Linked DNA regions of Lepisosteus oculatus. The protein of the gene in region 2 interacts with the protein of the main gene of each other region in a pairwise test. Links are inferred from orthologs where the notes say so. Each region holds a gene or a part of one and is shown on either strand. Other genes may lie near its edges. The genes, in order: nudt18, rabac1, sorting nexin-10 and syt16.

Region 1 (7,441 bases), on a different chromosome or scaffold from region 2:
AACCAACTCCTAACAACTGGTTGAGCACACTGGTCTGAGAGATCTCTGGATTATAATCTATTGTAATAGAATTGATGCATCAAATCCTTTTGATTTCATCTCTTAATTCCATCATCTCCACTTAGAAGGCAGGCTCCACCTTGAATTTTGCATTCATCCATTTTCTAATCGTTTCTTTCAATTCAGGGTGGCGGGGGAGACAGAGTCTATACTGGCAAGCAGCAGGCACATGGCAGGATGCAGATGCCAGTTCATCACTGGGCCCACTCAAACACAAACAAGCACACACTCACGCCTGGGTCATGTTTCCTCAGCAGCCAATTCACCTACACGTACTGTATGTCTTTGGACTGTGGGTGGAAAACAGAGCACCCAGAGACAATGCACGTGAACACCGAGAGAATCCCAGTAACTGAGCCCAGGGTTCCCAGCGCTGCAAGGCAGCAATGTTAACCTCTGCGCCTCCCCCTTGTATGTCAGTGCCTCACAAACTCGATTCTTCCATCCGGTCACCAGTGTCGTTCTAAAACACGTTGCCCTGCACCAAGCTCTAAAAGCCAGTAATAAATTCTGCACAACCTGTCGCTCGGGCCAGAAAAGTGAATCGGATCCAGCGCGGGCCGTTCTCCTGCACCAGGAGCAGGGTGACCGGGTCGCACTCCAGGCCCGTCTCCTCCCTCACCTCCCTTCTCATCCCCTCCACAATGCTCTCGTTCTCCTCCATCCTGCCGGCGGGGAGGTACCACTGCCCGTGGCACTCGGGTTTCGCCTCCTGCATCATCAGCACTTCGTTCTGTGAGGCAGGAGGCCAGCAGACACACAAGACACACCATGAGGCCGGAGGCATCCCTCAACGCGCTCGTTTGCATGTAGGGTATGGGTGCCGCAGGGCTCGGAGACACAGAGTGCACAGGATAATCAAGTCACTGGATATTCACTCATATCGTCAACTAAAGATAATCATTTACTAATCCTTACTACGATCTTTTTCTCATTAAATCTTTGTTGTAGGCACTAGCTTGTGTGGGATTTTAACTACATACAGCTGTGTTTCTAATATTAAAATACGGAGCAGTTTGGCTAGTGGAAGTAAAAGAATAAGTAAAAACACTTTAGGACACTGTTAATATTTCTATACTTTAATATGTATTTAGTATGTATGTAAAAAAAATACTTATTGACTTCAATCAGTGTGCTGTACCTAATGGTACCAGAAAACCATAAAACGTTTGTATTTAAAGCCAATAGATGGCAGTATGAATCTACAGGGTCATAGAGGACAGGAGCTTAGCACTAAAATAAAATAACTGCTTGTTGAGGAGAGTGATACACAACTCTTAAAAAGCACGGGCTTGAAAGTAATAAACGACAATTTAAGTAAGTGCTTTCACAGACTGAAATACACAATTTACCACTGAGTTGACGGCGGTAATTACCTTCTATTGGCTAAATGGAAGCTTACAGTTGACATTTGTTTACATTCGTACAGCGTTTTAATCCCAAAGAATCTCAAAGCTCTTCAAATAAGAAACCTGCTTCTATTGAATAAACACTTCACCCTTCACTATTGTATAAAGATTGAAAGTACTGTATTTTGTACTATTCTATTTTTTAAATTAAAATCCAGAAGAGTTCTGGTTTGGGAAGTCCAGTCGGTTAGCTGGGCTCGGGTACAAATAACGTTTCTAATGCCGCATGGCACGTTTCTGCTCTCCGAAACAAAAAATGAATCCAAAACGTTGAAAAGCTATCTTCCGGTCTACCGCGTTTACCTTTTCGTTAAAGATGACGCCGCAGACGATGTAGCAGGTAGTTTTTCTTAATGCTACCGACTGCAGGTCCGGAGCGGAATCAAACCGCTGCACGGGCGAGCCTTCACCGCTCAGAATCTTCTCCAACTCGTCTTCCACTGTCCGATGAGCCGAACCCATTGCTGGGGAAAGCGAAGTCCCGGTCCGGCCCGAACCTTCTGTTTATAATCGAAGAAATTCGGCGACTGAGTTTGGTTTGCAGATCCCTTAACGGGCTTAAAGAAAATAATATAGGGAAGTTAACTTAAATATATATAATTTGTGTTTTGGGCAACGCTTGGTGGAAACATGTGATCGTCACTAGTTTCACCGAGAAGAAACTCGTCTATCGATTAGCGCTTCAATGCACCTTTTTTAAAAGGTAGTTATTATTGCATCATGGAAACCAGCGATCTGGTGCATTGTTCCTGGGTTCAATTCATAGCTGCGTAGTACACAGAGCTAAAGCACCTGACAAATGCTGATGGATGCAGATGTACAATGTTGTGGTAACTGTATCCACCGTAAAGATTACTGGGAGGGCTCATAAAATTGTAAAAAAAAACTATGATTAGTAAGGAGCTAAATGCAACGTCCTTGGACTGGACTCCCAAGTGCCTCTGCAGCAACCGTGTTTTTTCTGCTACTGCCCAGGAGTCATTGAAATCAAATCTGTATTGTTTACCAAACCAGAAATCTCCGTCTGACATACATACAAAAACAAACTCAGCAAAAGTGTTTCGTACATCTGTCAACAACCGGAAAGTGGACATGCAATTCAGTTTTACCTAAAACGCAGCTCTGCTTTTACTGGTACGCTAGCTGTTTTCTTCGTTAGCACGTACAGTATATGTTGTACAGTAATAACAGCGGAAGTCCAGCCCACCCACTGTCGTTGGCTGCGAGCTAAGGGATAGTAAAAAAAGTCCAAGATACCATTATAACGCACATAACAAAACGCGCACAAAAGGTTTGATTGCACAAAACAGATACAGTACCTGCAGAACTGCGTTTTTTCTTCTGTAGTCTCACTGCTACAGATAGGCTATCTATAAAGTGCTTTTCTTCAACATTCACATGTTTAATAAGTATTTTTTTGTGTGGCCGGCAATGTATCCTAATGACAAGTCCTAAATGTAGCATACAATTTGAACCATTAGTTATCTTTTGCTTACAGCTGCGAGTGTTCTACTCCTCCAGAATAAAAGATGATGGTCCTGGTAAATTAATTTACGAATGACAGGATAGTTAATATTTTTATTTACTGCATTTGTTGACGAGTCGAATTTACAGCTCAGACTTCAGCCATAAATGGACTATTTACTTCGATAACTACTTATTTTGGATGCATTTGGAGCTCTGTAGCTTATTCTCAGCACGGTCTTAAATGGAAAACAGTCAAAAATGAAGAAACAGCTGAAGGAAGGGATATGCATTTATTCATGCGTGCAGATTATTTGTACGAATGCGCCTAAATGTGAAACCTCTTCCACAGACCTTACAAATAAACCCTTCCATCAGCATATTTAGAGTAAGGAGCGCGTCCTTGAAAAACAGACAACTGTAGCTAGCTGCTGGCCGAAGTACAATCATCGTTACTCTTCACTGTGCGGGCTTGCAGCGACGTTTTTTCTTTGTATCCTCTTTCTAAATTGTCCTTCTTCAACAGCTGCTGCTGCCTGGTACGTGTGCCAGGCGTACGCCTGTGTGCGCGGAAGAAGAAGGGTTAACCTTAGCTACGGGCCCGTTTGTAGAGTGACGCATGCTCCGTGCAGTCCACTCCACTCGAACTCAATGGATAGCCCAACCTGAGCTGTCCGGACAAACAACGCTGGGAAGTCAGTGAATCAGCATATCTAGTCGTTATTGCCAGCACATGGTAGTCATTTGTTGTTGTTTTTTTTCTTTGAAAAATAACCGCTCATAAAATAATCTGGGAATTTGGTAGAGAAAAACAGAGACAAAGATGGCTCGATAAAGGTTGTCGGAGGTGGTCTACTACAGTATGTGGAAAAGGCATCTACTTCTTAGGAGGCAACGCCTGGATAGAGGAAAAAGAATTGAGTTGTTAAGCGATTACGCCGACTTTATTTCTTAACGAAGATGGGTAAAACTTTGCCCCAGAGCTGCTTTACTTTCGTTTTTTGGGGGATTTTGCTTTCAGACGGGTTCACCTACGGTAGTAAAAGTAAGTGACGCCGATCTATTCACGAATTCAGACTTCAGTAATTAAGTCTACATTTTTACTCAAAGCTGCTCTGGCACTTTGAGTACCATACTCATCGTCGTAACCTACAAATGCAGCCTTTTTTCAGTTCAACAACCTGCCGAGAAACTTTTGTGGTCCACCGTTTGTGACCGTCTAACATGTGCTTCGCTATGTTTCTACACGGGTCGTTTTGAGAAACGCGAGTTTCTAAAAGCTGTTCCGTAATGATATTCTTTGCTGAATAATTTGTATACTCCATACAGCCCATTTAATTGTCCACTTCAAAAGTTAATGGCAGTTTGAAGGTGAATGTTGTAGGTAACCGAGGTGAATGAATTGGGGCTGGTGTTCTTGGGGAAGCCTTTGGGAAAAAAAACGACGCAGCGGATGAAGGGAGTTTTCGATTATACGGTTAGTGAATACCTGCCAAGAAAACTAACACAGTTCACATCGTACATCATCCTGCTGTCCTTGCAGTGTCGCTTTGAGATGGAAATAAAGAGGTTGGCCGGTATAGATTAAAGCGAGGTGGTGTGTACACCCAAAACGATTGCATGTACAGTAGTGATAAAATCCCCTTGTCTCCCTGTGTTTCAAATAATCCATGTAGTTGTTGTGTTAAATTGGGCTTCTTGAAGTGTTGCCGTGGTGGGAAAACATCCAGTGTTTGTCAACCTGCACGCTGCCACATAGTTTACACATTTACGAAGAGTTGTTCGTTTAAGTATCATCTACTGTAGTTATAAAGGGTCTTGGGTGTACAGTCTTGGCAGGCGGTCTAATCGTGTGTTTTAAGCGTTTCCAGTAACTGGCTTTAAACGGGAACAGATTGTGGTGGTGTCCCACAGACGCATCGTCTGATTGAAGCGGGTTTGACAAATACTTTCTGTGGTCTACAACAGTTGTCCTGCTTTGGGAGGTCTTTCACCGTAAAGGCAACACATCGATCTGTTGTGCTTGCTGTGAAGATTTGTAATTTTACTCGATCTCAAACGGCCGCCTATTACGATTGTTATTGTTGCCAAAAATAAGTTCTTCAGTTTCATCTTTTTTTTTTGGAGGGCGTCTGGCAGTCGATTTTTGAAAGTAATTTAATACTTGGATAATGCTATTGAACATGCCTGGATTGAATCGTTTAAATGACAAATAGATCCTGTTCAGAGGAATTCTAGAAAATGATTGAAAAGTAAGTCCTTTATTGTTGTAGTTTAACTGAAAACATGACAACATTTGTTTTTGCTGCAGTTGTGTGATATTTTTTTCCCGCTCAGACTCAGGTAGGACTGTACACCTTGAGTGGTGCTGAATGGGTTGTCAAGCCTGTTTTATAGGTTCTACGATCTGAAGTGCTTTCACAATAACGAGCTGTCCAAACACCTCCCATTTTCTACAATACCGCTTGTCGTTTTGTTTTTCAAGAATTAAACAATTCTTTCCACAGTTTGGAAGCAGAATGACTTTTTCCCATCAGAGAAGCTAGTCTTGGGGCCCATTACTTTTTATTATTGAGATGCTTCCCCTCGCTCGGATTATAAGCGTAGTTTCATTGTTATGCAGATATTCAGATTTACGTTAAAACCTCTTCTCCCTCGGGATCTGCCGCCTCCGTCAGTTATCGCTGGTCTGCGTAACATCATACTCTGCTTGACGTCAAAGTCCTTGGAAGATAAGTAGTGATACAACGGAAATGATATTGACGGGCAGCAAATGTCAGCTGGGAAAAGCTGGAGAGCCTTACAGCGACGGTGGATGGCTTCCCCATTCAGTCAGGAATCTGCTCAAATTCTATTAATATCCGATGCTGTGAACTTAATTCCCGTTTTTTTTTAATAAAAAGGTTCGATTTCTCTAACTCTTTGCTCCAAAACTCCAAAATATGTACAAAACTCTACAACTAGAATTCTAATTCACACCAGACCCTATAGCATATCACTCCTACACCTAAATTTCTACATCGGTTGCCTATAAAATGAAGTGTTCAGTATAAGTCCTTGGTAGTGACATTTAAAGCTCTTAATAGGCTCCATTCCCATAGGCTCTGTTCTGTTGGGACTGGTCCTTTGCTCACAGTAGCCAGGATCTTGGTCTTCTGGTGACTGTGCCTTTGCAGAGGCTGCTCTGTTGTTATGATTTGCACTTTCTCCGGCTCTTCAAGAGACAAATTATTCGACTCTTTTGAAATCTAAGCCTAAAACTCACCTTTTGTATTAGGACCTATGTCTGATTGCCCTACAGATGATCCTGTATGTTCTTGTTCCGTTTTTTTCTTCTTTTGCTGATCTCTATCACTGTGTACAGCATCCTTGGGATTGGAAAAGTGTTTTATAAATAAAAAATATTTCATGATCCATTATGCAGTGCTTTCAGAACTGTTTTCTTCCTAAAAAAAGTGTCTTGCCAGTCAGGATCCCTTTTCATTGAGGTGTAAATTATCAGGAATAGTGTGGAATCTGAGAGGACTGGGCTCAACTCTGACAGCACCTATACAGTGGAAACAGCCTTAGCAAATACATCATCTCAGATCCTTTGATTGCTGTTTAGTAATTGTTATACTCTAGCCCCCTCACATCTAAGTATTTAAAAACTATAATGCATAGTTTTATTTTAAATACAATAATGGATTTTTAAAGTCTACGCTGTCTGTATTGCTTTCATTACTGTATTTTGTATTGACCATGACAAGATTCAGAGAACATCTTTTGTTTCAGGCCATAATGGAAAATGTCCTTTGAATGCCACAGGCTGTTTTTTGTTTTGACAGACCAAGCCCTGAACACTGTTCCAGAAGAGTGCTGGAAAGTGCTGTCTGCCATCGTATATCTACTGTATTGTTCTTTTGTAAATAAATGACTAGCCTTTTGATTTTTCTTAACATTTCTAGAAGCTTGTGGGTTTTCATTTTTTTTGTATTTTCTAAGGCCATTTACAGAAACTTTGGTTTGGATATTTTTCTGTATTTGTGCTGAAAGATAGGTTTGTCACAATAAGAAAACATTAATACTGAAGTATTTCTGGGTATTCAGTATTTTATTTCCTCATTTACATCTCTACTATGTACAGGGCTGTTCTGGATAACGTAAACCTCTAAGTTTTATTTAAGCCTTTAGTTTCGCCAGCAGCCATATCACTCTGCAACTCACAACTGGCAACCCACTGAAGCTCAGCAGGTGTGAGCCTGGTCAGTACCTGGATGGGAGTCCTCATGGGAAAAACTAAGGTTGCTGCTGGAAGAGGTGTTAGTGGGACCAGCAGGGGGTGCTCACCCTGCGGTCCATGTGGGTCCTAATGCCCTAGTATAGTGACGAGGACACTATACTGTAAACAGGCGACTTCGGATGAGATGTAAAACCGAGGTCCTGAGTCTCTGTGGTCATTAAAAATCCCAGGGTGTTTCTCGAAAAGAGTAGGGGTGTAACCCCGGCATCCTGGCCAAATTTCCCGT
Region 2 (7,268 bases):
AAGGAGTCAGTGTGTCAGTGTGTGTGGGTTTGTCAGTGTGTCACCGTGTCCGTGTGTGTGGGTGTGTCGCTGTGTCAGCGTGTCACTACATCAGAGTGTCAGTCTGTCGGTGTGTCAGTCTGTCGGTATCAGCTTGTCAGTACTGTCAGTCAGTGCCTTGATAATAAATACAGACAGACAGGGAAATGCGTCGTCACAATGACTGAGTATTTGTGTGACAAAGAGGCAAGAGTAACTAGGGAAACAGGGTGAAGAGGAGCAGGAGGTCAGGGGTCAGACGGGTTCCATGGTGAGCTCCTCCAGGTCCCCGTTCTCCAGCTCACGGAAGGCTGCGTGAGACCCAATCACAGCCAGCGTTGCACCTGAGTGACAGGAGCAGGGACACGCCTCAGTACAGCGGCACAGGAAGGGGAGGAGCAGAGCAGAGGGAGGAGTCAGACAGGAACTCACCCAGCACCCAGAACACAGCTGCTCCTGCTCCAGCCAACCAGAACACAGGGAAGGACACAGCTCCTGCCAGGGCCAGCTGGTGTCCCCCAGTGACCTCCCTCCCTAGACAGAGAGAGAGTTCATCCAGACACACTGTACATTAACACTGCACTGAGAGAGGGGTTAATACAGACACACTGACTGGACACTCCAGTACATTAACACTGCACTGAGAGAGAGGGGTTAATACAGACACACTGACTGGACACTCCAGTTCATGAACACTGCACTGAGAGAGAGGGGTTAATACAGACACACTGACTGGACACTCCAGTACATTAACACTGCACTGAGAGAGAGGGGTTAATACAGACACACTGACTGGACACTCCAGTTCATGAACACTGCACTGAGAGAGAGAGGGGTTCATACAGACACACTGACTGGACACTCCAGTACATTAACACTGCACTGAGAGAGAGAGGGGTTCATACAGACACACTGACTGGACACTCCAGTACATTAACACTGCACTGAGAGAGAGAGGGGTTAATACAGACACACTGACTGGACACTCCAGTACATGAACACTGCACTGAGAGAGAGAGAGGGGTTAATACAGACACACTGACTGGACACTCCAGTACATGAACACTGCACTGCACAGGTGTAGACAGACGGACTCACCAAACAGCACCAGTTTCTTCTCCAGGCTCTTGAGGTGGATGACATAAAACGCGCCAACGAACACAGCCAGGGCCAGTAACAGCAACGGGGAGCTGATGCTGAGAGAGACAGGAGACAGAGCTGCTTCATTTCACTGCGACAGAGCGAGTGTTCAAAATCCTCAACTTCTGTCCATGCAGGGTCAGTGAACGCCTGAAACCTGTGACTTACGATCCCTCAGCATCAACTTGTGACCTGTGACCCTTGATCTGCAACGCCTTGGTAACCACCTGCAACCCCCGGCAGTGACCTGTGACCCATGACCCCCCGGCAGTGACCTGCCACCCGTGACCCTCCCCGGCAGTGACCTGCGACCCATGACCCCCCTCCAACAGTGACCTGCGACCCATGACCCCCCTCCAACAGTGACCTGCGACCCATTACCCCCCCCACCCCCAGGGCTGTGACCTGCGACCTGTGACCCCCCCGGCAGTGACCTGTGACCCATGACCCCCCTCCAGCAGTGACTTGCAACCCATGACCCCCCCCAGGGCTGTGACCTGCGACCTGTGACCCCACCCGGCAGTGACCTGTGACCCATGACCTCCCCCCCCCCCAGCAGTGACCCACGACCCGTGACCCCGCTGCTGGACTCACATGCAGTACAGGATGAGGCCGAGGAAGATGAAGGTGTAGTTGCTCTGGTAGGTGTCCAGGTTGCGGACGACTCTCTGGCACAGATCCCCGAAGTTGCGCGGCTTGGAGAACCGCCGCTGGTCCACAAACCCCGCCCACGGGCGCATGGCGGCGCGGCGCCGCTCCAGCCACTCCCGCGCCACGCCCCCGGACAGCCCCCGCGGCAGCCAGAGCCTGCGACACAGAGAGAGTGACCGCCTGCTGGAGCACACACTGACCCCACTGACACTGCCCACACTGACACTGAGCCTGTCACTGACCACACTGACACTGAGCCTGTCACTGACCCTGAGCCTGTCACTGACCCTGACACCACTGAGCCCACTGACACTGAGCCTGTCACTGACCCTGACCCCACTGACTACACTGACACTGAGCCTGTCACTGACCCCACTGACACTGAGCCTGTCACTGACCCTGACACCACTGACCACACTGACCCTGAGCCTGTCAGTGACCCCACTGACACTGACCCCACTGACACTGAGCCTGTCACTGACCCTGACACCACTGACCCTGAGCCTGTCACTGACCCTGACCCCACTGACCACACTGACCCTGAGCCTGTCACTGACCCCACTGACACTGACCCCACTGACACTGAGCCTGTCACTGACCACACTGACACTGAGCCTGTCACTGACCACACTGACACCACTGAGCCTGTCACTGACCCTGACACCACTGAGCCCACTGACACTGAGCCTGTCACTGACCACACTGACCCCACTGACACTGAGCCTGTCACTGACTCTGACACCACTGACCACACTGAGCCTAACACTGACCCCACTGACACTGAGCCTGTCACTGACCACACTGACCGTAACACTGACCCTGAGCCTGTCTTTGACCCTGAGCATGTCACTGACTGTACTGACCCTAACACTGACCTTTTACTGACCTTACCAACCCTGACACTGACCACACTGAACTGTCCCTACTAACCCTGACCCTGTCATTGACCCCACTGACACTGCACTGGCCCACACAGTGTAGAGACTCTCCAGGCTGGACTGGACTGACTGGACTGGGAGCTGGATTAGTGATTCACTGGGATTAAGAAAACAACAGCGTTTCCATGAAGGGAACTTACTTCCCGGCCAGTCCTCCTCCGGCCGGCTCTCCCGGTTCCCCGCTGAACACATCCCCCGTCTTTCCTGCCATCGCTGTCCCGCTGTCGGCTCTGCTGCTTCCCGGACAGCGCCAGGACAGAAGGACAAAAAACCAGCTTCATCCCCCTGGAACTCAACTGACGTACGAGGACGAATCAAACTGCCCCCTGCACCCCGCAGGGCCACACATTCCACGCGTGGGAGTGCGTGAGTGAGCTTCGGCGCGTTGCGTGCCAGCCTATAACGTCATCACCCAACCTACCAGAACAACGACGTCACTACATCCCTCTCTACGTCACTGTTCCAAACAAAACAAACAGTAAAGATGAGTTTAGAAAGTGAGTGAGATAATAATAATTATTATTATTATTAACACGTAAACGACGTGGTCTGTTCTCACCAGGACGGCGTTAATACCAATGGAGGACCGTGAATATTTTTTTCCAATTGGAAGGTTTTTCCCATTTTCGAGTGAGCCAGGTTTTCCAGCAGGAAGAACTGGAGACACTTCTTCCCATTAGCCCCGCGCACCGAACCAACAGCCGCAATTCGACACCGCTGCTCAATCCCCAGTCTGATCCCAAACAGTATTAAAAGGTTTGAAATAATTATATATGTCTCAGGAACTCCGAGACACTCACCCTCGGCGATGCTCTCTTTGTGTTCCGGCTCAGTTCCGGATGTGACGTGTCCCCGTAGGGCGGCCAACGAGCTGGCTATTTACCGTAAATCGCCTGATAGACGGGTAGCCGGAATTAGCTCTCGGCGCCTCCGTGTCTGCAGCACGGCGCGCAGGCCGGCTCTGTCAAACCCCCGTTGGCAAATGGGGTGCCTACACATCTATAGCTCAGGGTGCGAGCGCTGGTGCATTTCGCTCAGGAAGACTGTGAGAGACAGGTCAGCCCCAGTAGGGGTATCTGGACAGTGTGGGACCATAGAGGCTGCTTTGGTCAGGGGGTGCTGGTGGAGCACCTCACCACTATCTTCCCTCTGGACCAGAATTTCCAGCCCACTGGCCCAGTATGGTGAACAGGGACACCGTCCTTTACAAGGCACTGCCCTCGGGATGAGATCTTACCGTCGTGAAACGACAATTTGGGGCCACTGGTGCAGAATGACCGCTGTGCGTCTCCCACACACTCGGAGAACACCAGCGCTATGTAAACGCAAACCGTAGACTGTGGAGGAAACTGTGGAGGAACCCAAGTTGCGCGTCTGTGCTACATCAGTTATTACGGTAACTCGGTTTGGCAGCTCAGTGAGGGCGTCAACTTTTTGGTTGCTAGGCGACCGAGCAGCAGGCCCCTCTTCTGCACCCTAGCGGCCAGGCTCGGGATAGCGCCTCCGGCAGCCAAACAGAGCCCCGGATCCGCTTCATGCCAGCAGCGCTCTTAAGTAATAAAAATAATTCCTTACACTTATATAGTGCTTTTGTGGACACTCAAGTCAAAGCGCTTTACAGGTCATGGGGATCCCCTCCACCACCACCAGTGTGCAGCCCCACCTGGATGATGCGCCAGTCCGCTCCCCACACACCAGCTCTCAGTGGGGAGGAGAGCAGAGTGATGGAGCCAGTTCAGAGATAGCAACGCAAGTAACGCAACTTATCAAATCCTTAATCGAACAAAAGGATTGATTTTGAATATTGTGTTTTGTGCGCTCAGACACGTGTCACCACTGAGAAGCACAGGGTCCGGGCTCGATGGTAACCAGCCTGTACCAGCTCACAGCTCTAACGGCCTTTCCAGGTACGAACAGCTCGAGCTACACGCCGGGCAGAAATCAGGAAAAGGCTATCCGGACTTCCTGCTTCCAACTTCCTTCGCCGGCCATCGCGAGTCTCGCCCCTATCCACCTGTGAGCGAGCCTGTCAGGAAGACCTGTCCTCCTCCGTCTCCTGGGCGCCCGGGGGCAGGCTTCCTCTCCCAACATGGCGACTCTCGGCGTCGGCAGATCACGTGCGGCAGACCCTCCTCTCCCATTGGCCGGTGCCTCGGTGATGGCGGCCGCTCGGCGAGGGGCGGTCGCGCATGCGCGCAGCTGCTTCTGGAAGCTGCTAGAAGCGGACGAGTCGCGAGAGAGAGCGGACAGGGTTTGTGCAGCCCGGACACTAGACGAGCTTTGAACTTGCCAGCGCACAGCCAGCCGCCCGGATCCCGGCCCGGTTCCGACCCGCACCGCAGCAGAGCGCTTGTGACACAGGTCCGGCCGGAGCGGTCACTCTGCGGACAGCCGCCGCTGGCCGGAGCCCCGGGACGGGCGCAGCAGAGGGGAGACGGATCTGGAGACCGCTTGTCACGGGTGGGGGAGGCGAGACACGACGGGACAGCTGGGGTAGACTCGCCTCTGTGTCGCGGAAACACACACACACACACCTCCAACCCACCCGCACCTCTTCCGCGAGCTCGTGACGTCACCGCAGGGGCCAGCCGGAGAGGAGGGGCGCACGTGGGCTTACATAACGCCTGCACGTGACCCGGGTTGTTTGTCAACAGCGCGGCCGGCCCGCCCTGCGTGGACGCCCACGCCCACACCTCCGACCACACTCGCACCCACACCCAGGCCCGCCGGTTCGGCCATGCCCCCAGTCCCAGTCCCAGTCCCGGGCCCGGCCCCGGCCCGCCGGCCGCTGTGGTGGGACGAGACGGAGTGCCTGACCTACTACGGCATGCAGTCCCTGCACGAGCTCTTCGAGGTGGTGGGCTCGCAGCTCACGGACACGGACGTGGACGTGCTGTCCTTCCTGCTGGACGAGACCTGCCCCGCCGCCCACCCGCTGCACCCGGCCGGCTGGACCCCGGACCCGGCCGCCGACGAGCCCGAGCCCCGGGCCGGCCCCCGCCTGCTGGAGGCCTGGCGCCGCCTGCGGCCCCGCGGCTCGCCCGCGCCGCTCGCCGCCCGCCACCGCCCCAAGTGCGGCGTGGAGCTGCTGCTGGAGCTGGAGCGGCGCGGCTACTGCAGCGAGTCCCGCCTGGGGCCCCTGCTGGAGCTGCTGCGCGTCCTGACCCGCCACGACCTGCTGCCCTTCGTCAGCCGCAAGAAGAGGAGGACGGGTGAGGCCTGTACCCCCTTTCTGTGTGTGCACCCCAACCCCCCAGTCAGTGTGTCTGTATTAACCCCTCTCTCTCTCAGTGCAGTGTTAATGTACTGGAGTGTCCAGTCAGTGTGTCTGTATGAACCCCTCTCTCTCTCAGTGCAGTGTTAATGTACTGGAGTGTCCAGTCAGTGTGTCTGTATTAACCCCTCTCTCTCTCAGTGCAGTGTTCATGTACTGGAGTGTCCAGTCAGTGTGTCTGTATTAACCCCTCTCTCTCTCAGTGCAGTGTTCATGTACTGGAGTGTCCAGTCAGTGTGTCTGTATTAACCCCTCTCTCTCTCAGTGCAGTGTTCATGTACTGGAGTGTCCAGTCAGTGTGTCTGTATGAACCCCTCTCTCTCTCAGTGCAGTGTTAATGTACTGGAGTGTCCAGTCAGTGTGTCTGTATTAACCCCTCTCTCTCTGTGCAGTGTTAATGTACTGGAGTGTCCAGTCAGTGTGTCTGTATTAACCCCTCTCTCTCTCAGTGCAGTGTTAATGTACTGGAGTGTCCAGTCAGTGTGTCTGTATTAGCCCCTCTCTCTCTCAGTGCAGTGTTAATGTACTGGAGTGTCCAGTCAGTGTGTCTGTATTAACCCCTCTCTCTCTCAGTGCAGTGTTAATGTACTGGAGTGTCCAGTCAGTGTGTCTGTATGAACCCCTCTCTCTCAGTGCAGTGTTAATGTACTGGAGTGTCCAGTCAGTGTGTCTGTATTAACCCCTCTCTATCTCAGTGCAGTGTTAATGTACTGGAGTGTCCAGTCAGTGTGTCTGTATTAACCCCTCTCTCTCTCAGTGCAGTGTTAATGTACTGGAGTGTCCAGTCAGTGTGTCTGTATTAACCCTCTCTCTCTCTCTCTCTCTCTCTCTCTCTCTCTCTCTCTCTCTCTCTCAGTGTCCCCGGAGCGTGTCAGCGCAGTCCCGGTATTGGGGTACGGGGGTGAAGCGTCAGTGAGCTCCTCCCAGCGGCCAGAGAAGGACTGTGGTGGACAGACAGACCTTCCTCCGGTCTGCGCCGGGGCCCAGTGGAGTGCGGGTGAGTGGGGCGCACCGAGTGGGGGTCCTGTCCTGTGGTCTGTGGGGGGGTGTGAGCAGATGGGTCTCCAGAGCCTGACCCGCCCGTCTCTCTCTCTCTCCCCAGGCGTCGAGTCGTCCAGGCCGAGCCCCAGCCCTCAGAAGCGCGGCCGGGGTCGGAGACGCAGGGGGGGCGGCGCCGCCCCGGAGAGGCCCGGTCCAGCCCAGGGGGGCCCGCGGCCGGGGCAGCAGCGCGAGCGTGTGACCTGCGG
Region 3 (7,931 bases), on a different chromosome or scaffold from region 2:
CCCAGTGAGCACGAACTCCATGTGCCTGCCGTGCCGTCACCGCCGTACGAACAGACAAACCTACATTCACATGTGCTCGGCTGATAATGGGCCTTTTATAATTTATGCTTCCTTCTTCTAAAATGCCCTATGTGCTCTCCAAGGGCATAAGAGGAAGAACATGCTCTTGTTGCACATAAACATATAAACAGACTACAGTGAGACCAGTGCTTTCACAGATACAGTACTCCAAAACTGTGATCCTTCATGAAACACTACTGAAACGAAGCTGTGGGCCAGTAACCTGTTTTCACTCACCAAGCAGTCAGTGACAGACAAATGTACAGCTTTTAATGTGAAAAATTCACTGTCCCGATTGACATTAGGGGCAGCGATTGTGAAAAGCATTAACATAGTCTAACAAATTCATCAAGAGAGTTTTGTACTCATGCCTTCAGAACTAGTTTTGAAGAGCTTTAGTATGAATTGTTCATCATTCCGGATTGTTATGTGGCCAAACCAAGTGCCACTGAATGTCCTGTACCTGAATGATTACAACACCTCTAATTGCCATGTTCACATTTCTAGAAGCAGAAGAATAAACACCAAGAACACTAAACTTCCACATTATTTCGATTATTCATCATTTGCAATGACAACCTGGAGCACCATGTACACAGCAGGGCCCTTGAAATGCATTTCAGAGCCTGAGAACAGCCCTGCGGAAACTGCGCCCGGAGCTCTGATCGCAGGACCGGCGCACAGCCGAGATCAGACGGGACAGGACCCCACACAGTCAAAACAAACCACCTGCTCATCACGAGGCAGACGGTCCCCGTGTCCCTCCATCACCTCCTCAGCACTGCCTCCATTCTCACCCCCACCCGGTCAGGCTGCTGGCGGAGAAACCAGTCCGACCCACAGTCTGAGCACGTCGTACACACGCTATACTGCCACGGCACCAGTTTACTGCCCAGCTGATCTTTCTGATACTTCAACAACCGGGATACGTTGACTACATTACTAGTGAAGGCTTAATATGTTCAACCTTGTTATTTAAAGTGCAAGAGCTTCCTCACACACAGAAAATGATTTCACCTCTCCAGCAAACACAACCTGACTACAGGAAGTAGATTAAATGATTTACTCAGCAGTAACAACGCAGCACAACAAGCCTCATGCTCTGTCAGGACTGTTCCCCTCTCTGCTGGGGAAACGATTTAACAGCTTGCATAACCGCGGTTTGATAACAACCTGCTGAACTATTTACAGTCTTTAACACCGTCAGCAATAAATACAGCAGCTCCAGGAGGAGCCAGCCACAGTGCAGGTCTCCAGCCCAGCAGCTCAGTGCACATCAGCAAGCTGACAAAGGAAGGTTAACGCAAAATAAGAATGAGAATCAGGCTACCGTTGCTAGCGGTGATCCGCTTGTGATTTCTTCAGCTATCGGCTCCGGGACGGGTTGTGCAGGTGAAGAGCGGGCGTATTAAAACTGTCTGACCTCCACAGGCCAGATCACCTCACATCTGCGTTTGCTCAGCTAGAAACACGCACACCTGGATCGCGAACAAGACCTCGCCGACAACTGACTTACAAATAAACTTATTGGGAAAATCGACAGGCAGAGTCTGAAACCACCTGCGGGGAAGAGACGAATACCCCTCACACACGCACACACGATCTAAGCAATATAACAGAGCGATAAGAAAATGATCACTGCCGAGAGTGAGCCATCACCTGCTTGTGGAAAACGGCTCTGCTGGGCGAGAAGCACAAATCATGCAGGAGTCGCTAGTAAAAGCAAGCAAGTAAGGGAGCGAGAGACGACAAACCACCGCAAACAGCGGCCAGATCTTCTGAGTTTCAGGCTAAGAGGTTCAGAAAGTCAAGGAAGAGCTTCAAAGAGAAATCCTGACAAACATTCAGGTCATGAGTTCATCAGCTCTGCCTTGATTAAAATCAGATGTTTGTTAGCTACCCTTAATCTGTTCAAACATGATGCAGTGGATCACTTAATAATATTAAGACATATGGCATTCCACAGTTAGAATGGTCTAGGATTTTACGGTTAGACTGACATCAGAATGTTTTCCAGGCTTTTAATACTTTCTAAAGGAAGCACGTAATCCGAGTTTAGCCCGACTAGATTTATATATGTGCAATATGCAGTCAACCGTGTTCTTCATGCGATTCTGGTTTATGTTTTATTTTCTTGAGCTCTTTTTGCTAATTACTTTATCGTTGTTGGGCGAAGCATTTCGGAGGGGGCTGGAATGGGGAAGCGGCGAGCTCCCGGCGCTGGGAGTCGCTATGCCGGTCTGCGTGAGTCTGTTTGGTTAGGGGGGCAGGAGGAGGAGAAGTGTTTTTTTTTTACAAGTCAACGATCGTGACTCCAGCCTTCGCTTTTACATGACATAAAGTCCTCCAGCCGACTAGACCGAAACGCCGTCTCCGAGACGCTACCCACGCAGTGTCTGAAGCGCTTTCTGCGGAGGCTCTGCTGGGGGGTGTTTCGTGCGCATCGGCAGCGCTGGTGCGGATCCGCGTCGGAAACGTGGGGTCGCAGCTGCAGGAGGACAGAATGGCTGCCGGGTCCATCACACACCTCACTGCAGAGACAGTTAGTGCCCAGTTATACAGAAACCACCCCCCAGGGCTCCAGAGAGCTGCAGCGTTTATTCGACAGACCTCTGCTAAAGCTCGGCATGGAGGGGCAGGCTCCGGTTTAGGCTACACGAAGGTAACCGGATCATTTACAAGCGGTCGTGGAAACGGCGCTTTCAACAGACGACCACGGCTACGCCGGAAAGAGAGACGCAGTCCAGCCTCATCGCGCTTTATGGTAGTGTAACAGTGTTGCACTTACCGTAGACCGCTGTGTCTGTCACAGGCTGCCCAGCCGGCGGTCAGGACGCGCGTCGGACCAGGGCTCAGACTTGGCGCACTGCTCGCAGACCAGACTGAACGCCGAGCTGTAACACTGCCGGAGTGTCTGTTCGCGGAGACCACGGCTCTCGCAGTTCCTGGAGCTCTTGTGGGGAAAGTGCCTTTTACTCGCACACAAAGCCGTGACGTGTGAGATTGCGAGAGACAAGGAGGCTCTTACTACAAATTATTACACCCCTCCTCCGCTTGCATGATTTTGGGCGTGTTTGATCTCATTCATGAGCTTTCTGTGAATATTTTCTAGCCCAAATGTGGGCTATTTTTTTTGTAAAAAAAGTAGTACAATTTTAACGGTAAAGGTTTCACATGTCTACGTTTTAGCACATGGCATGATCATTTTTTTTCAGATTGGTTTGTGTTGGGGAATTATTTTTTTTATTTTTTCCCCACTGCTGTTCTCACACATCGTTGATTTATTTCCGTTTTTATTTTTGTGTAGCTGTGTGGCGAGTCCGATCCAGGTGATCTGCTTTCCTTCGGCACCTCTCCTGTGAATTCAACAGCATGTCAGACTGGGCAGGGGAAGTGTAGTATCATGGAGGCTTGTTCTTGGGTCCCAGGTTCGATTCCTGTGCAGTTGTGTGTGGAGTCTGCATTCATCTGAGTTGTCTCCAGGTGCTCCAGTTTCCTGACAGCTCTGAACTGGTGCCTGTAAAGTGCTGCTGTGCATGTGTCATCGAGTCAAGATGCAGGGGTGAGAGAACCTGCAGAGTAGCTCAGTCCACAGGCTGATTGTGAAACATGGTGTACGACATGGCCAGAGCAGACACTGCAGGGCCGAGACAGGACTGGTGGAGTCAGTGGACAATGGGTGGCAACAGGTAAAAGATAATAATACAATTAACCTCAATAATAACACTTTTCTTCATGGGACACTCAAAGGGCTTTATTACAGCACACACAACAGAAATAAGATAAAAGTACTGCAAATTAACTCGGTGAAGCTACAGAACATAATAAATTAATCCAAACTCTAATTAAATAAAACTCAGTGAAAGCTGGGGCCCAGTAGCTTTGTAAACCAGTTAAGAAAATTATAGTTAAAATGAAAGCACTTTATAAACTGATGACAACAGCATGGAGCCATGTTAAGAAAATGGATACGAACTGTCAACACAGGCCGAAAGAACAAGAGACGGGGAAGGAAAAGGTTTCAGAAGGTTGAAATCCGTATTTTTAACAGAGCAACAGCGAAAGAACATTAAAGGATCACGTGACGTGTCTCACAGTTTTGGAGGAGTGTGTTTTTAGATAATGAAAGTGAAACATCTGATGTGCTGAATGAATATTTCACCAGGGTGTTAACCAACTGACACGCAGCCTCAGGTTCAGTATTGAATAAGGGGCTGATAAGAAACAGCTGTGTTCCTGGTATGAGACGTGTTCAAGATAAACACATCTCCAGGGCCTGATGGCCTTCAGTCAACTGGAGATTTTATTCAGTGACCATTAACAAAGTCTTCTAACAGTTGCTCAAGACAGGAGAAACTGCGAATGTAGCATCCATCCATAAAGTGGGTGGCCAAATTGAACCATATAATCACCAACAAATAAGTCTTACTCCCGTTACCCATAAAAAAAGGTAACAATAATTAGAAGACAATTAGTGGCTCATCTGTAAAGCAGTAGCATCCTAGGCTAGAGTAAATAATGATACTGTACATCTTGCTTAACAAATGTGTTAGAGCTCTTAATAAAGCTTTTAATACATTTCCTCATGAAAGATTCATTCTCACATTGATGGCAGTTGGCATTTAAGATAATATATGTGTTTGGATTAAGAATTGTTTAATGGATAGAAAGCAGACAGCAGAGATAGGGGGTAATTAGGGTGATGTAATTAGTGGAGTGCCACAAGAATCTGTATTAAGGACTACTCCCTCCATCCAGTTTCTAACTGCTTCATCCAATTCAGGGCCACAAGGGAGTGGAAGTCATCCCGGCAGGCAACGGGCGCAATATGGAGTACAGTGCATCGCAGGACGCACGCGCACACACGCGCACACACACCTGGATCGATAGGGACTACCACTCTCCCTTATTTACATTAATGATCTAAATTGCTAGTGTACCATCAGAGAAACAACCGGCAGATCCTGGAGGATGATTTCACTACTGGAAACTGGTTTGCAGATAACACCCATATGACAGGTTAGCAAACACCAACAAAACTGCAAAGGAAAATCAAAATGCTATGGGTATATTCAAGACTGGTAACACACCTGATGGATGATGTCAATGTGCACAAATCAAATCAAAGTTTATTTATCAAATGCACAACAATTCGGCGTGCAGCAGTACTTGCTGGCAATGAAATGTCTTTTTTTCTGCGAGCTCACCAAAAAAAAGTGTAAAAGGTTACAAATAGGGAGACAAAACACTGAGAGAACTGTATGACACTCTGGAAAACGTGACAAATTTACCTATAGAAAAGACTTGGGTGATTATGTTGACACCCTTTTTATTTTTCTAGGCAAAGTGAGGAAGCAAATGTATTTGCCAACAAGAGTAAACTTATCATAAAACATTTCTTTGTTTCTAGAAACATGCTGTGCATATTCTACACTCTGGAATCAGTCCAGAAATGACAGACAAGACGCATTCCTGGTGTATAAGGAATGTCTCACATTGACAGGCTGAAGGATCTGAGCTTTTTAAGTGCTGAAAGGAGAAGATTACAACAAGACTCGACTCTACATAATCCTCAAAGCTTTGACAAAGTCAGCCCAACAGACTTCTTCAGGGCACACATGGAAACTACAGGGACGTACAGTTAGAACTGAGAGCAGGAGGCAGTTCTTTACATAAAGGGTGCTGGTAGCATGGAACAATCAACCCAGCCATGCTGTTGATGCTGATGTCTGGGTTTTCTTCCAGGAAACAGCTGTGAGATCCTTAGATTAATTAGCTACAAGCAACCAGGCAGGATATGTGTGCAAAACAGCCTCATCTCATTTGCAACCTTTACGATGTGTTTTAAATTTCTAAATAATAAAATAAACATACATCAATGTCATTATAAGTGTTGTATCATGTTTATAGTTCACAAGTCTGCTGTTTAAAGAGAAAACGCCTAGAAGCAGATAACATTCATAACATAACAGATAACATAGTTTCCTGGCTCTGCCACAGTATCCCTCCAACAAAGTAGCAAGATATTGTCTTATTATGAGGAACAGATTAATGATCAGCATTCCAGCACTGATGTTTCCATGAGTCATCATGTACAATCACATCCACACATTGCAGCATGGAGCAGAAGAATCACATCCAGGCATCAGCGTGGTCAGTGCTTGAGTCCCAGACGGGGTACTACTACTGTACCCTGAGGATGGTACTTCTCTCAGGTTGTTCCAGTGAAAGTTCCAGTGGTATAAATGCATACAAATGTAAGTTGCTTTGGAAAAAGAGTTAAAGAAAAAATAACATTTTTACTCTTTGAATTTATATGAAAGTTATGTCTCGCTTGTGTAAGAGAATTTATCTGCAGGAGGTCAAGTTGGACTTGATTACTAAGGCCCTGATTCAAATTACTGTAATTCATGTTCCCAAAGTGTGAAAGAGAAATCTGATCCTGCCTCTCTTGCGGGTCCACTTCTGTAGAAATATTGTTTGCCCAAGAGGTTATCATAGATCAGCTAAAAGAACTACATTGTAAGACACTGGTGACATTACCTGTGGGCCACCAGTGTGCAGAGCTATACCTTCCTTACTGTGTAGAATTGTAAAGAAGGCACGCACAACTAAGAATGTTTGGATTAAAAAAAACTTTTTTGACTATAATGCTTACGGCACTGCAATAACTCTAGGCGCAACATGAATGCAGTCTTTATTAAAATATATAATAAACTATTTTGAGGTCTCTTTAAATTCTGCATTCTTAAATGTTTTGAAGTATGTTTGCACAGATAATCTTTTCAGGTCCTATAATATTCCAAGCATTCTGTGAGCTGTTTTCTTTTGAATAAAGTAACTGCAAGGCCATTTCCACACAATGGAGTGGATTCAGATCTCAGCTACCAGAGTGCTAGAGTATACAGTGGGTTTAATCAAGACAAAGATCTTATCTTTACTTGGGCATCAAACAGAAGTATTTCAGAAACCTGCTGAGCAAGAACAAACAAAATTGCAGAAGTGTTTTTGTAGCACTTGACAGTTCTACAATTCCTGACCCTTTTAGTCAAGGTTTAGAAAGAGGCACTGAAACAGCTCGTTAAGATAGTTAATGATTTGCTAGTGTCACTTAATATCCTTCTCTTCTTTTGAGATGGTCAATCACAGCATCATGAATCACTAAGAAAATGACAGTGTTCACTGCGTGGTCTGTCCACTGGTTACTTTAAGGACAGAGTGCCCGAGCTCTGCTGATGCTCTTCTCCCTCTGAAGACCCGACTCCACAAAGTTGAAATCCCAAAACCCTCATTTTTAAATCTCTGAAGACTTTTCTTTTGACTTTAGCTTTGTAATTTCAGTTTAATTTAGTTTTACTCTTGGTTTGTTCTTTTCTTTATTCTCTTTCTAGTACTTCCTTAATGTGTATTACATTTCTGCCACTGAACTGCTTGTGCTTTCAGTTTCATTACAAGTATTCTTTTTCATCATCTTACTATTAATAATGTTATTACTGCAACAAGAACCAAACATCAGGTCTGCACCACATGACCACTTCTACTCTGTTCTCTTTTGAATTTGGAGGAATATATCGGCTCTATTTGTTAGATGAGAAGAGTTTTAAGTTTAGAATGAAGTGTTATCAGCCGAGAGTCAGTGAGTGTCCTCTGTCATCTGCAGTGTTTACAGCTATAACAAAGCTTTCGGCACAGAGGCTGATTCTCAGTACTGCGACAAGAAGTGATGTGCATATACTGTACAGCCTGCTAGTGTCACAACAGCTGCTTCTCAGAAAAGTCTTACCATGAAATGTCTTTTATGTTTGTACTCTAAGGCTTATTTTTTTCACCATTGCCCTCCTACATTTCCAGCCAGTGTGAGTACATGCCTC
Region 4 (7,609 bases), on a different chromosome or scaffold from region 2:
GGTGACTGAACGCCAGCAGGCTCAGACTGAGACACGGGACGTGCACTGAGAATAGAGTCACTGCAGGCTGCAACATCTACATTACTTCCAAACATGCAACACAGGAGTGGATGGGTAAAGCAATCTTTGAACTACAGCCCCATTCTAACCCTTTTAAAGAAGCTTCAATCATTACTACTATATAATTCTACTCTATACCATACAAGTGAAATGATCATGGAATCTAGCATTGATAAATGAGAGGTTTGGGAATAATCCAACAAATTCATTCAGGTATGCACTTGGCTTTATATATCACTCAGCTACTAGTAACCAAATAAGTTATGATTGGGACAAAGGGCTGCCTCTTGTTTAGAACCTTTCTTCCTGTCTTCTGTTCTAAATTAATAGCATGTGTCTCAGTTCTGAAAACTCTGCTCCACGGCGCCCCATGTGGAGTTTTGGCCTGTGCGGCTAACAGCTGGCAGCCGGCAGAATTGCCCGAGAGTGCTTCCATTTCCCAGGCTGCCCTGCTCCCACTTCTCTCGCAGCGCTCATTAAACAATCTCCTGACCCAAGCCCTGCTGCGCACTGCACTCCTCCACATCGCCAGGTAACACAAACACACTCGGACTCACCCACACTCAGCGGGTGGGAAGTGCCCATTATCGCAGCCTTAATTGGGTTTAAACTGCGCTGAAAGCCCTTTGCAGGTTCACCGCTCTGTTCCTCAGAGAGGGAGTTTGCTCTCACCCAGCGCGTTGTGCACTGAGCTCCTGGCCATGTGACATCACTGCTGGCCTGTGGTGGGCGGCACAGGAACAGGAGAGCAAGCAGGGCAGTGACTCAGAGGCGTATTGTGAAGAAAAATGTGCCGAATTCAAATAAAGGGAAGCAATGTTACATCTGCATAATGCTCTTGTATGACTGTATTTCAACATTGTTCGAGAGCCTCCTCTCTTTTGTAATCTCTTATCTGTCGCCTGGCCGGGCACAGCAGATATTGGCACCATTACCTCACACTGTCAAGCGTTTGCACAGTTCTTATATTCATTCAATCTTACCGTTTAAACCATAGTCCAAACACAGCAAAAGAGACAGTGGACTGGCTGCCTCCCGTGATTATTATTTCATTTTCAAGGCAAGATCTCTTGGAAAAATGACTGACAATGCCTCTAAATTCAAGAACTTTTGGAAAACTAAAGTCAACACACATGTACTGTGCAGGTGCGACTATTTACTTAGAAAAAAAATGTGATCATGTAATGGCCAATGAAGATGTGCCTCATTCACTTCTTTACTAATATTGTGTGAGCGTGACTGGCATGTGAAATAATTCCTCAGCCTAACCTTAATGGATAATTGTGTTGAGTGTGGCTCTTTGATCTCATATAAGCTTGTATATGATAATAATGTTCACAAGCCTTGCTATTTAAACAGATGGTACAACAGGTTGATCTAGTCACCTGGTTGGTAATACCTCACTTTATCCTATTTGATTGCTCCACCTTCCTTCTTCAGAAGCTAAATTCTCTATTGTCTGTTAGACAAACACAAGACCAGAAAGTTGGTTGCAGCAGAGCACCGCTCTCATCTGCAGGACTCCAGGACTGGCTAAGATCACAATCTCCTGGAGACGAGGACACCAGGCAGGGCTGCACCCTGAACAAGACACCAGTGCGGCACAGGAGACACACACACACACGAGCACGGAGGAAAAATGTAAAGACATCAATTAACCTCGTCAACATGTTTTTGGAAGGTGGGAGAAAGCCTATGCAGAGTCAAACATGCCAATTCCACACAAAAACCCCGAATCCAAAAGCTGTGAGGCCGCAACGCCAACCACAATGCCTCCTTTCACCACGCGGCAACTGTTGTTCAGTTCTGTACTGTCAGGAAGTGAGCAGATGCATTGTGGGAAGGCACGCACTGATGAAGAGCATCAGACGACAGTGTTCACAGGCTTGTCAGGGGGGAGGATGGGAATGTCACAGCTGCAGTTAGTAATGAACATAACCCCCAACTATGCAATCAAGACCAACAACCCTATTACGCTATCTAGGGGACTATAGTCGCTTAATACACTGGTGGATAGCAGCGACCACATTTGCAAGCCCAGAAGAGGGTGCTCTGTGATTGTGAAGCATTATACAATGCAGTTAACAGAAGAATTGAGCCCCAGTAAAATACTGCAGTTGTCTTCCTCACAGGAGACCAAGGGCAAGGTCCCAGTCATTTTTAGTCATGCCAAAAAGGAACCAACTGGTTGACTCTTTGACTGTAGGATGCAGTCAACAAGGCCAGGGGATTCCCTCACACAGAATGAAACTCTGGTCAGCGTGGCAATCATTTTCAGACTCTAACAAGGGCTCACTTGTCTTTGATAATTCACCTCATCGGGACAGGTGTACATTTGTAGCAACACAAGAAAAAATTGAACCACACTCCTGAGAACTCTTAAAAACTCCTTGGAAAAATAAAATTGTTTTAACAAATAATCAACCTTATTTTCAATGGCCTGGCAATAATAACAGCTATCGGTCAGGGAGGTGCTCTTGCTCAGAGAGGGAGAGAAGATTGATTATTATTATTATTGATTATTACACTGATACAGGAGCGAGGTTCCAAAACATACCACAATATCCACTGAGGCACAGTATCCTCCAAAGTGTGCGTCTCTGAGCTGTTAAAACAGTAGAAGCGGAAATACTGTCCTCTGAATAGAGAGAAAATTAAATTATTCTGAAACTCCCATTCTTGTATGTAGCCCAAAAGCAGTACGCGGAGATCTGTGATTTATTTTTTGTTCTATGTGTTCTTCAAAGTCACAGCAAACATGACTGGAGTGAGAGGTAATTCGAGAATGAAGAAAACAATTTAAAAAGACATATTTCTACTAACAGGCTTCAGTCTGCAGTTCAGTGACTTTGCAGTGATTTTCACAGGAAGCAGACCAGAACACAGTGAGGGAGACAGTCTGCCAGTCAGCCTGACAATGACACACACAGACCCCTAGCAGACCCGACGGCCTCTTACCCAGACCCTCGTGAATCCCTGCTTTCTCTCGGGAGCGTTTCTTTTTCCTGCGGTGTTCCAGGCAGGGCAGGCCGCCGATCCTCTGGAAACAGAGCTTCTTACTGATGAAGAGGAAGAGCACAGCCAGCACCACGATGAAGACGCCCACCGCAGACAGGAAACCAATGGCCTCAGGTGTGACTACAGACAAACAGACACACAGAACAGCACTTCAGAACAGGCGAGGAGAGAAATGCTCTCGAGAGGCCATTCAGCCCATAAAGCCTGTATGGGAGGTCACTGATTCAAGGGTCTCTCTGGTTTCTTGAAGGAAACAACATGGGCAGCTTGTTCATCTCACAATCCTTTGGATAAAGATGTGCCTCCTGTTTTCAATCATAAATTCACTTCCACATAGTTTTCACTCGTTCCCTCTAGCCCATGTTTCATTGTTCAAACAGAGTACTTGGTCAAATGGGAGGCACAAACACTGGGCTCATTTTTGCACATTGAAGTGCATTCATTGTACATCTACATAGCAACTTGAATAGCCCTGTCTGCCGCAAAGCCTAAAGAGCCTGCAAGGCAGAAAATGAAATCAGATGTCATATTTCTCCACCCAGCACCACATCAAATCTTTCAGTCTGACATGATAGCGGTCAGGCAGAACACCCAAATCTGACAGGAAGACAGACTCCTCGATAAAGAGGTTCTTTACAGGACAGGCAACTCAGCAATAAGGTCACCGGCTCAGACTCTGTATCTTCTGAGGTAAGGAGCAATCTTTCTGTAGCAGATGAAAGTGAATGGATGGGAAGACTGAGGATGAGAGTCAAAGAAAACTGTCGATGTACTGCTCAGAGGTCTCATGAACCAACCAGGCTCTTCAACAAGGTACACAAGACTGTGAGCGAATGTCTTCGGGAGAGAAGACGTCTTGGACCCAGCACTGGAGCGGGTGTCTTCAGTGAGCGCTCGCCCCCTGAAGGGGAATTTTCAGAGGCTGCTGGAAACATCAAAGAGGAGCAACTGTGCTCTTCCCCGTTGCCGCAGCACGCTCCCCAGATGAGGGCTTGCTGAGAACAAACGCAGGGCGAGCGCATTATGCATTCAAACACCTCTCAGACGCTTCACGACATTTACCAGAGTCTTTGTGCCAGTGTCGTGTGGGAAGATATCTTGATTGGCGGGCAGGGAGTGGGGGTGTTGTGTAGTTTTGTGTGCGCTGACACCGATTGCCATTCTCGACTGAAGCGGTCCTGCCTACTCACAACGCTCATCTCTCGCCACAGAAGGAGAGACTGCCTGAAAGGCACAGGATCCAGTCCCTCCCTTCCATTCTCCTTCCAGTTTCTCTTTATTCCATTCCCATGGCATTTTCTGACAGCGCTTTAGCCCTGACAGATACAATAAGCCAAGGTCTCTCTTTATACTGATCCACAGTGGCTTTGTTCGAGAAATAACAGAACCGCCATCAATAATTCCTGAACGTTGTTACTGTAAAACTGCCTCTGTTCCGTTTCAAAGGATTTCAGACTGTCAATTTGTCATTCTATTGACATAGCACCACGCACACAATCCTCCCTCAGTACACATTCTATTCTTGTTTAATTTTCTTCCGCAAGCTGACAAGAAATATGAGCAAATCTAGACACTTATGAAGTCCAGACAGGTACATCAGACTTTCACAGATGTTAAGCATGATACTGTGCTTAAGCCGAATAGTATAATAATTATCGTCGGAGATGTGTCAAATGATATCTTTATTTTCTCAGGTGTAGTAATTAAAGTTCCTAACATATTTAACACATTTTCTAACATATTTTATTATCATATTTATTCCTAACATCTATAGTTACTACATGAGAGCTAGTAGGATGCAGGAGTAACTCAAAACTTTCAAGTCCTCACCAGAACAATCCTAGAATGAACCATCACTGCTCCTGTTGCAACAGGTCTCAAAGTGAGCAGCACACATTTACAGAACACTGCCAAACTGTTGGAATAGCGGTGTATCTCTCTGTCGCCGTCTCTTCAGCTACAGCAACCTCTGATTACAAAAGGGAGAGCAGGAGCAACACAGAGAGGACAGCCGTTCACAGCCAACATCAAACAATCCCACCTTTCTCTGCACTTTCCTGTGCAAGTGCTGTTTTGCTGAATTCCAGGTCTGTACCAAAGAAGCCACAAGGTCCTCTGCAACGTCCCATCTGCCGAATCACCTAGAAGACTAAATTCTCTGAAGACAGCAGTTGCCTCTAACAGACGCCGAAATATCCCACATACCGTTTCTCCCTCCAACTCGCAGGGCTGGAAAAGCAGGTCTGGCCAGTCCTTAGGGGTTTATGCTAACTCATACAAATGGCCCGTGTGCTTAAAAGTTTTCCTCTAAAAGAAAAAGGACAAAACAACCTTCACTTCCTACTGTGCGCTACATCTCCAGCTTTGAAGAAAGACAAGCCCCAGTGGGAACTGCACCCTTGTAGACTTTTGGGATCAGGAGCCCAGAGAGTTGCGGGCTGTAACCAGCCTCTGTATGGGCTGTGCTGGAATGCTGTTTGCTCTGTGATTAACAGACACCGCAGAAGGTCCTGGCTCAGTGGCAGGTGTGGTAGGTGTGTGCCGGCTGCACCTCACAGCGCAGACCCAAGCTGAGCCACGTTAACCTCGCAGCACAGAAAGGACAGGGGCTGGTCCCAGGGTGCATTGTATAGACCTGCACAAAAAAAGCATGTTATTAATTTGGAATGTTACATAATTTACTGAGAATTGAAAAGCCAAAACAAAATCTATTCTTCCTGTTAAAAAGGTATCCTTGAATCTCTCCCTTTGTCCCTGCATATCCATGAAACTGCATCAGATTTCACCCACGCCTGCAAAGCTGGGCCACATCAAACTTAGCAATGCTAATTAAATCAGGGATTTCATTTACACTACCTGTACTTTCTCCTCTCAAAAACTAAACGCAGGTTCTTTTGGGGAATTATATTCTGCACAAGACATTCATTTTCAAGGTGTTTGGGAAATGTAATTTGCTGGGAGTCAGTCACCCCTTTGTTTTCGTGCGGGGACAGTGCTCGGGTACATGGCCTCGAGTTCTTGAAATGTCAGGCTGCTATTTTTGCCAGTGCCTGTGAGAGCCAGAGGTTTGCACAAGGCCTCCCCCCTCCCGAGGAAGGCACAGTGGTCAGTTTCCCTGGTAACCGGCCTCTTCTTCCGCACAGAGTGCTTAAAAGGCAATGTCTCCATCATTCCCGCTGAAAAGGAGAGGTCTATGTTGCCATGGCACCCGGAAGTCTTGTGCGGCAGGGTGAGAGCTTAGAGGCTGGACAAGGAGGAGAGGCTGGTGTGCGGCTTTCAGGCAGGCCCTGAGGAGAGAGGCAGGCCCCGCCAGTGGCAACACCAGGCCCTGAGAGGAGGTGGGGGGATTCACATACTAGGTGACAGAAAATAATAAGTGAGGACCTCCTTGCCCCTGTGCTCATCACTGTTCCTTTTATCTGCAAACACCTTCCCCTCTGGCTGTCCTGGCTGTCCTCTTATAGACCAGCGCAGACCTCTGGCTAGGATGAGGTGCGCCCCCGCTGCCTTCTTACTTTATTCCCTTATCATACATGTCATTACCTGTGACTACGAAGCCAGTTCCCATTCTATTACTAACAGCACAGCCTTGAGGACTCGTGGCTGTGATGGAACATCTATTATAGCACAACAATGATCTGTGTGCGGATATGGATGGTGGTGGACATGCCGCATAAACAATCCCACTGCTTCACTACTGGTTTGGGTTGGCTACTTTGCAAGAAACCCCGGCGTAGAAGTGTTGCTCCTATTTCTTTGCCACTGGTTATTCACGACCGACAGCTCAAACACGCACATGCGCTTCATTAGACTGACATCACCCAAAGAGGCTTTTTCCGTCCATTTACACTCTCGTAAAGGCAAGGACCTTGGGCGGCCAAGAATACACCTAATTACCTGGCAACTGGAGAAGTGCATGGCCCTAGCAACAGCAGAACCACGGGCACGGGAGTGGTGCAGCTCCTGCTCCCGCTGTCTTTCATCCGGCCACATGGGGAGAGGACAAGAGGCCTTCACAGAAAGAATCAGGGGTACTCTGGGAGCACAGAGCGAAAAAAAGCCAAAGGCCCTGCAGCAGCTGATGAGCCACGGAAGTGTTGAAGACCCAGGGAGCACAAGGGAGTGTACAGTCTAGCAGGACTGACTGTCAGTGCTGGACAGCTCTGCCCTCACGCAGGGCTTGCAGAGGGGGAGGTGAGAGGAGGGATGGAGTGGCCGGGAGAGAGGGGTGATTTTGAAAGAGGAATGCTCAGTGGTTCAATATATGGATTTCACGCGGTGGTCTTAAAAAACACATCGGCTCATTTTCTGAAATTGAGTGAAAAAAAACAAAACATTTTCAAACCTTTAAACACTTCCGGAGTAAAAACTGTTGAAAAGCCCCTCCAAAGGTAAATAATCTAAAAGGACAAAACATTAAACGCCTAGCTCACTCCCTCTCTACATCGCTCAGATTCCCTGGGGTACTGGGAATCCTTGTTATAAACCTCACTAAAGCACAAATGCATGTTTCATCTTGTGTTTTACAGAT

The links.
Region 1: the proteins of rabac1 (region 2) and nudt18 interact in binary tests that used the Homo sapiens proteins (3 or more experiments, as listed by UniProt). The two-hybrid records come from large-scale screens. The link is inferred for Lepisosteus oculatus from reciprocal best matches to the Homo sapiens genes RABAC1 and NUDT18.
Region 3: the proteins of rabac1 (region 2) and sorting nexin-10 interact in binary tests that used the Homo sapiens proteins (3 or more experiments, as listed by UniProt). The two-hybrid records come from large-scale screens. The link is inferred for Lepisosteus oculatus from reciprocal best matches to the Homo sapiens genes RABAC1 and SNX10.
Region 4: the proteins of rabac1 (region 2) and syt16 interact in binary tests that used the Homo sapiens proteins (3 or more experiments, as listed by UniProt). The link is inferred for Lepisosteus oculatus from reciprocal best matches to the Homo sapiens genes RABAC1 and SYT16.

Annotation. Positions count from the first base shown.
Region 1 is NC_090697.1:68,281,173-68,288,613, reverse strand, and holds the start of nudt18 (8-oxo-dGDP phosphatase NUDT18), read right to left. Parts: upstream 3,010-7,441; 5' UTR 2,966-3,009; intron 2,672-2,965; exon of another isoform or gene 2,579-2,671; intron 2,027-2,578; exon of another isoform or gene 1,970-2,026; 5' UTR 1,932-1,969; coding exon 1,773-1,931; intron 794-1,772; coding exon 580-793; intron 1-579. Other genes in the region: disintegrin and metalloproteinase domain-containing protein 9, read left to right, coding at 3,894-3,978. UniProt on the Homo sapiens protein: Mediates the hydrolysis of oxidized nucleoside diphosphate derivatives. Hydrolyzes 8-oxo-7,8-dihydroguanine (8-oxo-Gua)-containing deoxyribo- and ribonucleoside diphosphates to the monophosphates. Hydrolyzes 8-oxo-dGDP and 8-oxo-GDP with the same efficiencies.
Region 2 is NC_090722.1:9,966,999-9,974,266, reverse strand, and holds rabac1 (prenylated Rab acceptor protein 1), read right to left. Parts: upstream 3,018-7,268; 5' UTR 2,959-3,017; coding exon 2,888-2,958; intron 1,966-2,887; coding exon 1,753-1,965; intron 1,215-1,752; coding exon 1,117-1,214; intron 553-1,116; coding exon 451-552; intron 363-450; coding exon 274-362; 3' UTR 187-273; downstream 1-186. Other genes in the region: dedd1 (death effector domain-containing 1), read left to right, coding at 5,485-5,959, 6,878-7,018, 7,124-7,267. UniProt on the Homo sapiens protein: General Rab protein regulator required for vesicle formation from the Golgi complex. May control vesicle docking and fusion by mediating the action of Rab GTPases to the SNARE complexes.
Region 3 is NC_090705.1:786,292-794,222, forward strand, and holds the start of sorting nexin-10, read right to left. Parts: upstream 3,019-7,931; 5' UTR 2,849-3,018; intron 1-2,848. UniProt on the Homo sapiens protein: Probable phosphoinositide-binding protein involved in protein sorting and membrane trafficking in endosomes. Plays a role in cilium biogenesis through regulation of the transport and the localization of proteins to the cilium.
Region 4 is NC_090703.1:7,514,927-7,522,535, reverse strand, and holds the start of syt16 (synaptotagmin-16), read right to left. Parts: upstream 3,011-7,609; 5' UTR 1-3,010. UniProt on the Homo sapiens protein: May be involved in the trafficking and exocytosis of secretory vesicles in non-neuronal tissues. Is Ca(2+)-independent.